Linked DNA regions of Nothobranchius furzeri. The protein of the gene in region 2 purifies or fractionates together with the protein of the main gene of each other region. This does not show direct contact. Links are inferred from orthologs where the notes say so. Each region holds a gene or a part of one and is shown on either strand. Other genes may lie near its edges.

Evidence for each region.
Region 1: the proteins of F-box/LRR-repeat protein 12 (region 2) and styx purify together in Homo sapiens (affinity purification with mass spectrometry; 4 studies listed by BioGRID and IntAct, with this or other methods). This does not show direct contact. The link is inferred for Nothobranchius furzeri from reciprocal best matches to the Homo sapiens genes FBXL12 and STYX.

The regions. Positions count from the first base shown.
Region 1 is NC_091749.1:54,435,914-54,444,879, forward strand, and holds the start of styx (serine/threonine/tyrosine-interacting protein), read right to left. Parts: upstream 4,735-8,966; 5' UTR 4,509-4,734; coding exon 4,449-4,508; intron 4,142-4,448; coding exon 4,109-4,141; intron 4,027-4,108; coding exon 3,973-4,026; intron 3,876-3,972; coding exon 3,778-3,875; intron 3,687-3,777; coding exon 3,626-3,686; intron 3,559-3,625; coding exon 3,522-3,558; intron 3,444-3,521; coding exon 3,404-3,443; intron 352-3,403; coding exon 301-351; intron 207-300; coding exon 134-206; intron 1-133. UniProt on the Homo sapiens protein: Catalytically inactive phosphatase. Acts as a nuclear anchor for MAPK1/MAPK3 (ERK1/ERK2). Modulates cell-fate decisions and cell migration by spatiotemporal regulation of MAPK1/MAPK3 (ERK1/ERK2).
Region 2 is NC_091741.1:79,988,629-79,992,682, reverse strand, and holds the start of F-box/LRR-repeat protein 12, read right to left. Parts: upstream 2,801-4,054; 5' UTR 2,498-2,800; coding exon 2,397-2,497; exon of another isoform or gene 2,313-2,396; intron 2,261-2,312; coding exon 2,185-2,260; intron 1,682-2,184; coding exon 641-1,681; 3' UTR 1-640. Other genes in the region: cops6 (COP9 signalosome complex subunit 6), read left to right, coding at 2,907-2,949, 4,027-4,054. UniProt on the Homo sapiens protein: Substrate-recognition component of the SCF (SKP1-CUL1-F-box protein)-type E3 ubiquitin ligase complex.

The DNA.
Region 1 (8,966 bases), on a different chromosome or scaffold from region 2:
GATGTGTAACTAATGACAACAGCAAAAGTTAAAAAAAAAAACTAATACCCTTGAGCCACTCCCCCTTGTTAATTTGAAATAAGGACCAAATGATTAAAATCCAAGCAGAATTGGGACTCAGCCCCAGTCTTACCTGTAGTTGATGCACAAAGCCCACATTGGGGTTGATGCAAAATCTCCTCTCCTGGACATAACTGAATGCATCCCTGCAGAGTTTAAAGTGGGGAGAAACTGAAGCAGAACACACTTCTCCAATTAATCTTTGTCTACAGCAAAAAAAAAAAAAAAAAAAAAAGTCACCTGTATTTCATCCCAAATGTTTCCATCAGGTAGGCGATCACCAAAGCAGCACTGAAAGTACAGATATACCCCGGTGGTTACGATGACATTTAGATGGATTTGGTCTTGTATTAGCATCAAAACAAAAACTACTGATATTATACATCTGAGTATGGCTGGACGATATATAAAAAAGCATATCAAGAAAAAATGCTCTTATTGACCTAAATCTATAATAGATAACTACAAAAAAAGTAGAAAATATATTAAGTGCAGCCCTGGCATTTTTATGGCATCACTTTATGATAAAACCAGCTACCATAGGTATTTATTGAGAAAACAACCCTCGTTTATTTTTTATCAGACGTGTAAAAAGGGAGCCCAAGTCTCCTTCCTTTCCGGTCGGCTCATGGGTCCCCGCAGGAACAAATAAATGAATGCAAGTCAATGGAGCTATTTTCGAATCCGCTTTGCCTTACGTCCTGATTCACACTCGTGCTGTACTTCAATTTAAACGAAAAGTAATGATGTGTTTCGACCACGCCTGTCACATACTTTGAGATTATCAGCTTGTAAAAGTTCGTAATTAGCATGACTACAAATCAGATGTCGGCACGTCGCATATATGACGTCACAACAGAATCTCCTCTCCCCTAGCATAGCTGCTACTTACCACATGGCCAGATTTATGGTGGTTTGAAGTTCGCAAAACTTACAGCCATTTTTCTTCTGCTTTTCTCCATGTCTGGTTCGGTGACATCACTTTGGTGATGCACATTTGTAGTCCTGGTTGTATTTTCACACAAAACCTAAAATAACTTTTGCCCGATTTAAATAAACACTTTCTATGCATCAGAATGTGTCTTTGACATTCACGGACATCATATATGAAATCCATGGCTCATAACGGAATTAGAAAATAGCAGTTTAAAGCCCCATTGACATGCATTCGATTTTTCGTTCTTCAGGGGACCCATGGTTTGGAAGTAGATGGACGTGACTTAGGCACCTTATTAGGTTTGTATCCAAATTTTGATATTGTTTAACTTTCTACACATTTTACCACGGCCTACAGCAGGGCTATTCAATTCTGGGCCTTGAGGGCCGGTATCCAGCATGTTTTAGTTTTAACTGTGCTTCAACACACCTGATTTTAATCAGCAGGTGATTAACAGGCTTCTGCAGAACCCGATGAGCTGCTGCACAGGTGACTCAACCACTGAATCTAGTGAGTTGGACCAGAGAAACCACTAAAACCATGGGACTGTGTGTGTGACCTACAGTGTGGGCGCCACTAAGGGGACTGTTTTGGCACCCTTTCTTTTCACCCTGTACACTGCTGACTTCAGACACAACACAGACAGATGTGTTCTGCAGAAGTTCTCCGATGACCCTGTGATTGTCTGCCAGATCACCGAGGACGGTGATGTGGAGTACAGAGGACTGACACAAAACTGTTGTCAGCAAAACCACCTCCTGATCAACGCGGGGAAAACAAAGGAGATGGTGGGGGATTTTCAAAGACGCCAGCCTGCCACTCCTTCACAGGTGAACATCCAGGGAATGGACATTGAGAGAATTGGCTCTTATGAATACCTGGGTGTTCACCTGAACAATAAACTGGACTGGTCTCACAACACAGATGCACTGTTCAGGAAGGGTCAGAGCAGGCTCGACCTCCTGAGGAGGCTGCAGTCTTTTGGAGTGGACACTCGTGAAGACCTTTTATGACTCTGTGGTGGCACCAGCTTTCCTGTATGGTGTGATCTGTTGGGAGTAGCAGCATCACAGAGAGAGAGAGAGGAAGAAGCTGGACAGGGTGATCAGGAAGTCCAGCTTTGTCCTGGGCTGTCATCTGGACTCAGTGCAGGAGGATCCTGGCAAAACTGAGATCCATGCTGGGCCATGAGTCTCACCCCCTGCAGAACTCTGCTCTGGAGAGCCGCTTCAGTGACGGACAGATCCACCTTCGTTGTGTGAATGGTAAATGGCCTGTATTTGATATAGCGCCTTCTAGAGTCATGGAACCCCTCAAGGCACTTTACAACACAATCATTCACACACACATTCACACACTGGTGGGGATGAGCTACGATGTAGCCACAGCTGGCCTGGGGCGCACTGACAGAGGCGAGGCTGCTGAGCACCGGCGCCACCAGTTCCTCCAACCACCACCAGCAGGCAATGTGGGTTAAGTGTGTTGCCCAAGGACACAACGACAGCGACAGACTGAGTGGGGCTCGAACCTGCAACCTTCCGATTACGGGGCGAGCACTTCCTGTGCCACCGTCACTTCATGACAAAGGAGTGTGAAGGAGAGATACCACATGTCTTTCATTCCTGCTGCGATTAGACTCTATAAGGAACACTCCTAATATGTAACTCATAAATCTGTGACAACTTATGTATCTGTAGCAATGCCACAACTGTCATCACCATTCAATACATGTGCAATGTTTACAGCAACAATCATTATGTTCAACAACTATCAAACTCTCAATTCAACACTTTTTCTATTCCACGTTACTTACTGAATTCCTTTTGTGTGATAGCTTTTCTGTACTACTATTTTAACTTTACTGTACTTGTGCTGTTGCAATACTGCAATTCCCCCTGAGGGACTAAAAAAAAAGGTATTCTTATTCTTAAAAAGTGCTGGATACCGACCCTCGAGGCCCTAACTTGAAAAGCCCTGGCCTACGGTATTACGATCTGTTATGGACCTTCTTGTGTCTTTAATGAAGTGATTGACTGATTGATATTACGATTACAAATAAAAAAATATGACGTAAGCCTCAAGTGACATTACTTCCACTGTTCAGAAACTGAAACACTATTACAGAAAAAAAACAACAACAAAAAAAAAAAACAATGTGCATAATATTAACACCTTTTATTTAAAAAAAAACGCAGCTTATTAAAAAGGGTTTCCACCAGAAAAAAATTAAATTTTTACTTTTCCAGCTTCAACATTGCATGCTATGGACTGACAACTTTCCCTGCAGGGCTGAAAACCCGCTCCGATGGTGAACTTGTGGCGCAACTGCTATAGGAGTCTATATTAGAGATTTTTGTCTCCTGAAATTTATATAAGGAAACATGTCAAAAACAGAAAACTCCTCACCTTCTCGATATCCCTGCATTACCGTGAACCAATACCTTTCCTGGAGGAGCAAAACAAGACTGCTGATCAAATATTTCACATTGAAATGATGACAAATAGGAACTGTATGTGTCCTTACCCTCTGTGGCTAAACAGCTACCAATAAATTCTTTAGTCTGCAAGAAGGAAATGTAAGAAAAAACATACTAGAACGGAGAATTAAAAGCTAAAACTTTAACTCACCGTAGGAAAAAACCGAATTATATTCTCCACTGGATTGTCTGCAATATCTAAAACAAGGTATCTGCAAGAAAAAGCTTCATAACTCAAGACTTCACATTTAGTATAAGCGTTCTGAGTACGTAAATGTTCAAGGGACAAAAATAACACCTTACCTAAATCTATGAGGAAAATTAGGTTTGATAAAATTGGCTTCAATGTCTTGGCGGATACACACAACATGTGTTATGCCGTGTCTTTCAAGAATTGGCAGCTGGAAACAGATGAATTTTAAAGTAATTAATTCATGTAAATTGTGACCGTTTCATATTCAACACAGCTCAAGCAAACATTCGATTTTTAGTTGTTACCTTGCTTTTCATTGCAGCAGAATAGGGGCCTAAGTACAATCCTGGTAAAATCTCCTAAATGGATTAAAAAAAAAACAAATAGCACAACATCAACAACAACAGGAGGAATGGATGCTACTAGACAACAATAACATACCTGCATTTCTCGCCTCATTGGATAAGCCCAGTCCTGTGAAAAAACAAAAAAAAAACAAAACAAAACAAAAAACCAAATCAAAAGTTTAAGGAAATGTTAAGGTAAGTTTACTTGTGTACATACGTGGCTAACGCTAGGCATCTTCTTGGTTTTAGCTACATGATTAAATATTTTAATATTTATTAAATAAAGAGAAGATGAGTTTTACACATGACTAGTTTGTGTTAAGTTCATATATCCTCACACTGAATGCCTTGTAATCTAAACGTTTCACAATAATGCCGGAGAGTATGTTAGCTAAAATTAGCGTGTCGGCTCCAGTTTCATGTTTTCTCCTCACCAGCAGCTCCTCCTTGGAGGAAGGAAGATCCGGGAACTGGAGTTTGATTTCCTCGTCCATTCTGCTGTGAGTTCGGGCTCTGCTGGCCCGGTTTCACGCGCGGCAAAGATGGTTCTAGCGACGGGGTTAGCTGGATAATCGGTGTAACTTGTTTGGAGGCTCCACATGCATGTCCGCCATACTGTTCCCAGACACATGTGTCACGTGACTCCTGAGCAGACAGCATGCCAGAATTTATGGTAAGCCAATATATCCTTTAAGTTGGAAGGCCAAAAGTACGGAAGGACAAACGTCCCATACCTGTTAAAGAGATACTGCACAATCTTTCATGTATTTAAATCACATTCTTGAGTTTGTGCTAACTGACCTTTCACAGGCTTAATGAAATGCCTCTCAGACCCCACCACCCTCTGCGGCAAGAATTTGCAACTTCAAAGTGCCAGGCCACCATCAGTTAGACTTAGAAAAAATGCATTTGACATACCTAGCACTGCATTCTGTTTCCAGCACATTTCCTGCATTTAGAAAATGAACACAGCTAATTTGTTAGATTTAGTAATGAATCGCTCCTTTAGAAACCAATTAACCCAAACCGTTTTGAATTACAAAACAGATTGGACAAATACATCAAGATGTAGGAAAAAAATGTTATAAAATAAAGAAGTTGAATAATTTCCAATATATGTATGGATAGATTTTCACTCTGGGTTTTCAAACTTGAATATTTGACCCAAGAAGAAATTTTGCAGATGTTTAAAACCGGTGGTGACACCAGTGTCACCACCGGTTAAAATCGGTTGTGATATATATATATATGTGTGTGTGTGTGTGTGTGTGTGTGTGTTATTTTATATTGTATTTTAAAGTTTATACACAGGTCCTTAAAGGTTCAGGCTGGGGAGACATTGCAGCTGTAGGTTAACGTTGTGCGTTAGGACAAATGCACAGCAAGGAGATAAGTCTCTCTTTTGCTTTGACCACTAATAGTTAATAACGGACACTAGGGGGTGGTGAAAGCAAGTAAAATTGCTTAGTATACCGTTAGGAAGAAATATTCTGCAGATAAACAACTCTCACTGTATGAGTTTGCTGCAAATGATAATCTTAAATGTATGGTGGAGGATGTTTCTGAATGTCAGGAAAGAACCGCCCTCTCCATAATTTGAAAAAATGCGCATGAGAGAGAACGCCCAGTTATCCCAGTGCACGCTTTGTTCACGAGTAGCTGCTGGACTTGCAGCTAACTTCTTTTAGCAGTTATATGAAATGAATTTCTCCAAATAGCATGCCGAACTTTAGCTTACCTGTCGAGCAGGTGAGCGAGGCGTCTGTGGGGAGCCCAACCTTCGCTTTGCGGATGCGCAGGAAGTGAAAACTGCCCAGCAACAAGCATGTGCAACGACGGCCTTGATGTGACTGGCTCACCAGAATGTTTGACAGTTATGCGGACCAATGGTTCAGATGATCCACCTGGAAGAAACAGATCCTATATTTTTAATTACAGCTGGGTACAAACCTTTAAAATGTTTCTTTTCAACTATTTATTGGAACTATTGTCTTGTCAGTAAGTAAAAAAAAATAAAAAAACACGTTTTATTGCTTTTGCATTGTTTTCTTGCACTGAGTTGTCATTATATTCCTATGATTATTTCTGTTATTTTCTATTGTATTTTAAAGTTTATGTTAAATACATTTTTATTTAAAATCATATAAAGATTTTCTAATTCATTTACAAGTTCTTGTCACTGAAATATGTTTTTTTATTAAAAAAAGTTACCTTCTCTGTTTTCCTCTTATCACATTTTTTTTCCTTCTTATCTTCAAACAATAATTTGAACACAGTGTTGTGCCTGAGTCATCGTGGAGGGCAAAGGCTCCTTCTTTACATATCATGGATCTCCTCATCTGACAAATACATCTTTGTTGAGATGAGCAGGTGTTTGTGAGTTAAAAACTCCGCAGCGGTGCTGGTCAGCAGAGAGAAGTGACAAAAAGTTACTTCTTATCAGATGCAGAGACATAGAATGCTGTCACCTTTCCACAGTCACACTAACCAGAAAAAATAAAGTTTCTTTGAAGGATATCAGTAACAGGAAACATATTCAACCCTTTATCCTTAATCCTTATCAGAGTGCTTAGAAAACACAGTGAACTCGCTTCCCTGTGGCACAAACATCCAAAAGAAAGCAGTTTTTAATCATCCATTTACCACATTCATTTTTGCATAAAGGAAAGAAATACACTTTCATTAAAAACTTGATCTTAATATTAATCAATAAGAGTGTTCTTTAGACAAAATTAATGTCAACAAATTAGGGATATGAATGAATAAAATCACCAGTTTTCTTATAAAAATGATCCGAAACGGGCTTGTGAACATTCAGTCTTTATCTCACTGTCCAATTACACCACCACCAGAGGATATTGATAAGTATAAACATTTAATGAATCAAAAGATGGCTCTGATTTATTATTCATAAATGCAAGCATTACTGAAGTTTCCATTTGCTCAGCTAATTATTTACTGTTGCTGTCATTTACTTTACTGTTTTTTTCATTCTTCTCAGACTGTTCAAGCATGGACCAAATGACAGTCGCTGTCAATGTTTGTATTCCCTCGGGGGCCGTGTGCTGCAGCATGAATGAATGATGGCAGCGTTAGTTAGTTAGTTAAATCCATTTTTATTTAATTAAATGTCACTTTTCTGTGCAGTAATACAGTAAACATTTTACTGAAGGCACTGCAGAAAAAATAAACAACAAAAGCCTAAAACAAAGGCCATGAAAGGCAAGAAGAAGGAAAAATGAATTTTTTCTCACTCTTCTGTTTAAGTATATTAAAAGCCTAAATTTCTGTATAATTAATGAGCATCAGACCCACGTGACCACAGAGCTAGCTCCGTGGAAAGGCCTCAGTCGAGCCTCGGCCTGGCTTGGAAACTGCTCAGGGATTTTGAAGCTCTGGTGTTGTGCACAGTTAACTCCGGTTGTAGCTAGGTTGCTACCTCCATTAGCTTAGCTCCCTTCTCCGCATTAGCTTTGGGTTTGTGTATTCTTTTTTTGGATATTATTTGTGCAACTGTTGGACAAAATGACTTGCTGTGGCATTAATTGCACTAATAGAGCGTCCAACGAGTCTCCACTTCATTATTTTCGGTAAGTAAAATTATATTTATGTATTTTAGGTCACTGCCGAGCTGAGCTTAGATTTTAACATGTACTGTTTAACCATGAAATTTAAATGTAATAGGGTAAATCCCAGTGCATTTAACATAATGCTGCACTTTAGAAAATGGGCTAAAATATTACATGTTGGTGGAGCTGGGTTCCGACTATCGGCTTGTGGAGCTCTCTGGAGACCTCTGTTTTCCACATGTTTCTCCCCGCAGCTCGGCGCAACTCTGTCTGATCGTGGCTTCTGTTTGATGTGCGGGCTGTCGGCTTGTGGAGCTCTGGGATGGAAACCTTTCCACCCGGTTCTCCCCAGCGGCATCTCTGCGCATCTCAGATCGCAGCGGCGCTTGTCTGCTGTGCGGCTGCCGGCTTGTGGAGGTCTCGGAGACCTCTGTGTTCCACCTGGTTTTACCCAGCCGTCAGCCTGGCGTATCTCTGACTCAGAAGCTCTGGTGTTGTGCACAATTAACTCCGGTTGTAGCTAGGTTGCTACCTCCATTAGCTTAGCTCCCTTCTCCGCATTAGCTTTGGGTTAGCTTTAGGTTAGCTTGTAGCTAGTTCGACCGGGTGTCGTCAGTTGATCCCAGCCTTACAGCCCCACCCTCAGCTCCACCTCTCTTCCTTTTTATGGAATTGTCTGGGCTTGACGGAACCTGTGACACGGTCAAAATGGCGGTGGTGGCCACCTCCCATTTGGCCTCAGAAACGTGTTATTGGAGCCTATGGAAATGAATTGTCCAGTATATATGTCGATGTGCAAAACCAACAACAGCCTTCCCCGTCGTGAGCCAAGATGCGTGAGTCCATGAATGTTAAGTGACAGTGCTGTCAGGATTTTCAAATCCCAGAATATTACCATTTATTATCAGAAGCTAATGCAGGAGATAAGTGGAAGACAGAATTTTTACATTCAGCCTGCATGATAAATTCATAGTGGCTGATCATTTTCAAGAACAAGAAGTTAAAATGGTTTCTCAGTGAAGGACTTCTAGCCATCATATTTTGCATGAAATCAAAAAGTAAATTTTTGTCCCCTGCACTTTTTACCGTCCAAAAACAAAATCACACTATATAAAATAGACACTGGTTGAACACTACATGACCAAGCAGAAGCCTGTTTCCCATAGAACCATCCACAAGCTCATCTGTTGGCTCTGCTGATACTTGCTAACGTGTGATTGGCCGTTCTTGTCACCTGTGCACTTGACAGTTCTGCATTCCTGACATTGCATAAAAGAGCCTCTAGGCTGTAGTTTTATACATATTTTTGTATTTACTGTAAATATCCCACCCCGGTCCTCATGCTAGTTGGTACTCCCCACTTCTAAAGTCAAAACTACATCC
Region 2 (4,054 bases):
TAATTATAAAATGACGAATGCTTTAAAACTGGAAAATTCAGCCTTGGGAAAACTTTAAACATCAATTCCAATTCAACTCATAAAAAATATTTTCTTAAAACATGACAGACAATATTATTCTTAATTTCTTGTTTTGTGGTTTCTAAAATTGATGACAGTAACACAAAAGTGAACCGGGGGGTGAGGGGGGGGGGGGGGGGGTGAGAAAGACTTCAGTATGCTATGGTGTGCATTTGGTCATCACGTGTGATTTTGATTGTAAAAATAAACAGTTAAACAACAGGAAACAGGTGGAGTTTCTCACAGTTTGCTTCAGTTATCTGGCTCAAACACCTGCATACACGATTAAGTTTAAAAAATGCTTTTCTTGCCTTGTTCCCAAAGCACTTAACAAAATATCTTCTCTCACATTTAATCCTTTTTAATGCATTGACAAACTCACTCATATACTAATGGCTTACAGTCTAAATGATGAGCTCATCTTAACTGATGTTTTGGTTTATCTACTTGTCTAAGGTCACTTTAGTAAGTGGATTCTTAGAGCTAGATTTTAAGCCTGCCACCTAACAATCAGACATTTCTCCTTTTTGAGCTACAACTGTCCTGAGAAGGAAAGGTATTCTTAGCTACTTACACAGATTCAGTCTGAAATAATCTGAACAGAACAGTTGGTGAAAACCAGAGAGCAAGATGGCAGCAGGACAGCTAGTGAGCGCCGCAGACTTGGGAAAGGTTCATTCACATCTGGTGCCATATTGTCATCATTCATATTTGCATCTGCACCTTCCTCTTTGTCTGGTTGTTCATCATTACCTTCTTGTTCCTCTTCTACTTGAGGATTCTGAATGGGCTGAAAGATCACGTCCAAAAACTCCAGCCGACGCAATCCTCGAAGCATCCTGCAGCTCCGCACAATCTGCAACTCACTGAGCTTGCAGGCCCAAAGGCACAAATGCTTCAGGTCCTTCAGACGGCTGGCACAGAGCAAACCCGGCCCCACCTCCTTACCACCAAGACTCAGCTCCTCCAGTCCAATCCACCCTGCCCCTAGTCCAAGGGAGGCCATCTGTAACTGGTATCCTTGTCGTCCCGTAATTCCTATTTCAAGAAATTTCAGCCGTGAGAGCCCTTCTACCCCCGAGAGACCATCCTTGGCTGCACAATTTCGAAGCCCATTAGCTGTTATACGAAAAGTGTCACGCAACTCCAGTTGACTTAGCCTCTGCCACGATGTTAGACTCTGCAGATGCTGGTCTGTGAAAGAGGGCACATTGTTGAGGATTAACTTCTCAATACAAACTCCCAGAGGAGAGCCAAGCCCTGTTCCTTTCTGATCCCTTCCTTGATGAGGAGCACTAGAAGTGGCTTCTGCTTTGCCAGGGGGATGAGTGGCTGAATTAGAAGAGCTTTGGTTGAAAAAACCCCGAGGCAACTCACAACCACGCAGCTCCAGCACTCTCAAAGTTCGAGGGAAAACCAGGCAGTTAGGTAGACTTCTCAGGTCTGTATGCAGAAGGTAGAGCTTACTCAGACGGGGACATCTTGTGGACAAAGCTTTGAGCCAAGACTCAGAGAGAAAGGTGCCGCCTCGGGCTGACAGCAGCAAACCTCGCAAGCGAAGGCATCTTAGTCCACAACCAAGGTACTGACGCAGCAGGACCCAAAGGATGCGGGATGTCACCTGACACAGTGGATAGTGTGTGTGTGTGTGTGTGTGTGTGTGTGTGTGTGTGTGTGTGTGTGTGTGTGTGTGTGTGTGATGGGGAAAAGGAGAAAATAACTGTTAATAACTATGCAAACAAACACATTTTTCTTTAGGTTAAAATACACACGTATCACTGACTGGTTCATTATGGGTAAATAAGTTGATTTTATTCATGAGAAAGTTCCTCTTTTACTTTGGTGTTGCATCTAAAACCATCAAGTGACTTTACAAACGCAAAACTTTGTGTTTACCGTTTCTGTACATATTTATGAAAAAGCGTATAATTTAGTCATTCAGACAAAACATTAAAAATAACTTCCTTCTGACACAGGTGTTACTGGAACAGATATTTTATGTCTAAAACCTAATGCAACATTGTTTGTAACTCGCAGGTGTTACTTTATTGTGATTATTTTCATAAAGAATAAACATCAGATAAATAAAACGTTAAAGCCACACAGTGTGCTGACAATTCTTACCCCCTTCCATGAGGTCAAGTCGACAGTTTTCCACAGTCTTTGGTCTTTAACAAGGCGTTTCCATCTTTTGCACACCCTAAAAAAAAGAGGAAAACAATGGCAGCAACACAGAGCAAACTCACTTACACCACCGGATGAGTCATAACAAAGAAAAAGCCTGGCGCTGAGTTTTTGGCATACAAGCAAAATTTCAGCTGGAATACAGGTCTTACCTTCCAGCTCTGACAAGCTCTTTGACGCTCAGGTATGACAAAACATCTATCAAAATGTTCTCGGGAAAGTAGTCCAGATTACAGGCTTTAAATTCGTCCATTTCGTTAAAAAAAAAAAAAAAAAACTCGTAAAGCTTCCACACGGACTAATATCCTGACGCACACGGGTTGCGCCCAAATCAGTAATCCCCAGGAAACGGCTACTCGTTGACTGTATGATGCTGTATGACCTAGACGTTGGATTAAAGAACATACAATATTATAAATTCCTTCGGATAGTTGTGTCTCCGTCGATATTTTCTTTCTTTTGATAACACTTGACAAATTTCTGACAAAGGTCGAGCTCCACACCTTGTTTTGAAACAGCCTGAAATGCAGTTTGTTGCCACCTAACGTTCGTTAGCTGAACAGCCCTCCTGCGCCTGCGCGTTGAATAGATGTTGCACCGAATTGTGTGACCATGGTATATTGTGACTCCAGGAGGCGCTGTTGCCTCACACACCGGACAAGATGGCGACCAGCGATGGTGGAGGAATGGAAGTGGATGGGGCAGGCGAGTATTTATTTCTTATTTCACCATTTAAGTCTGACATCAGCATAGATGGATGTACGATTCCCTTACATGCTGTACAGTTTGGGTGTGAATGACCCCAAGTTAAGACTTAGTGTCATTAAAGGCTGCTGCTGACATAAGTGGGTTAACGTGCACTGCTCAGTCTGTAGTCATGACTCTGGATGTTACCGTCGCTCCTTTTCTGTTCTTTGACTGGAGTCTGGATGACTTGTGTGAATATAAATTTATATACACTAATTGTTTTTTGAAAATACTATTTTATGTATTCTGTTCAAATTACAGCACAGCATATTAGAGGAGCACACGAGGGACGTTGTGTACACCTGATTTCCATTGCTCTGTCACGTCATTTTGGCAAAAACAAACTACAGTTCAGTTGCTTCCCTTATTTTCGCCCACCTATGGCTTCACTACTAAGTTTATTTCAATTCGGCTTTGTTATTTCTGTGTGATGATGCAAACCTAACTCTAACCAGTTATATTTATCCTGGCTGCTGCCTAGCTTGGCCAGGTCTCCCTTGAAAAAGAGGTTGTTAATCTCAGTGGGATCTTCTTGGTTCAATAAATACATCAAACATTGGCCATATAAACAAAAACATCTGCTTGTTTATTGTTGTTTGTCTGGGTTGGTATCTGGGTATGATATTGCTGTGGTTAATGTGATTGACACTTTCTCAGCATCTAAAAAAAACTGATTCACCCATAGTGCTGCAGCAGTTAGCGCCATACCACAGAGACAACTCTTTAAAAGGAGAATTGAGAGCATTACATTTAATTAGTCCAATTTCTGATTTAGTGGAGACATCCTTCAGCTGATTATCTGATAAATGAGACATACGAGGGATTCTTTGGGATCTGCCTTATTGGAGTTAAAATATTATTTTTATACATAATAAAACTTCAAATATTTGCTGTTTGTTAAAATGCAACCTCCTTTTTCCCAAAACCAGTCATTTGTTTTACAGTTTTTGTTTGTTTTCGAGTAAAGAGCTTTATGTTACATGTTGCTGGTGTCCAGTTAAAGCTTATTTTACATCTGTGTCCACGTGTCTGTAGTGGGCCCTAGTGTCATGGCCTCGGGAGT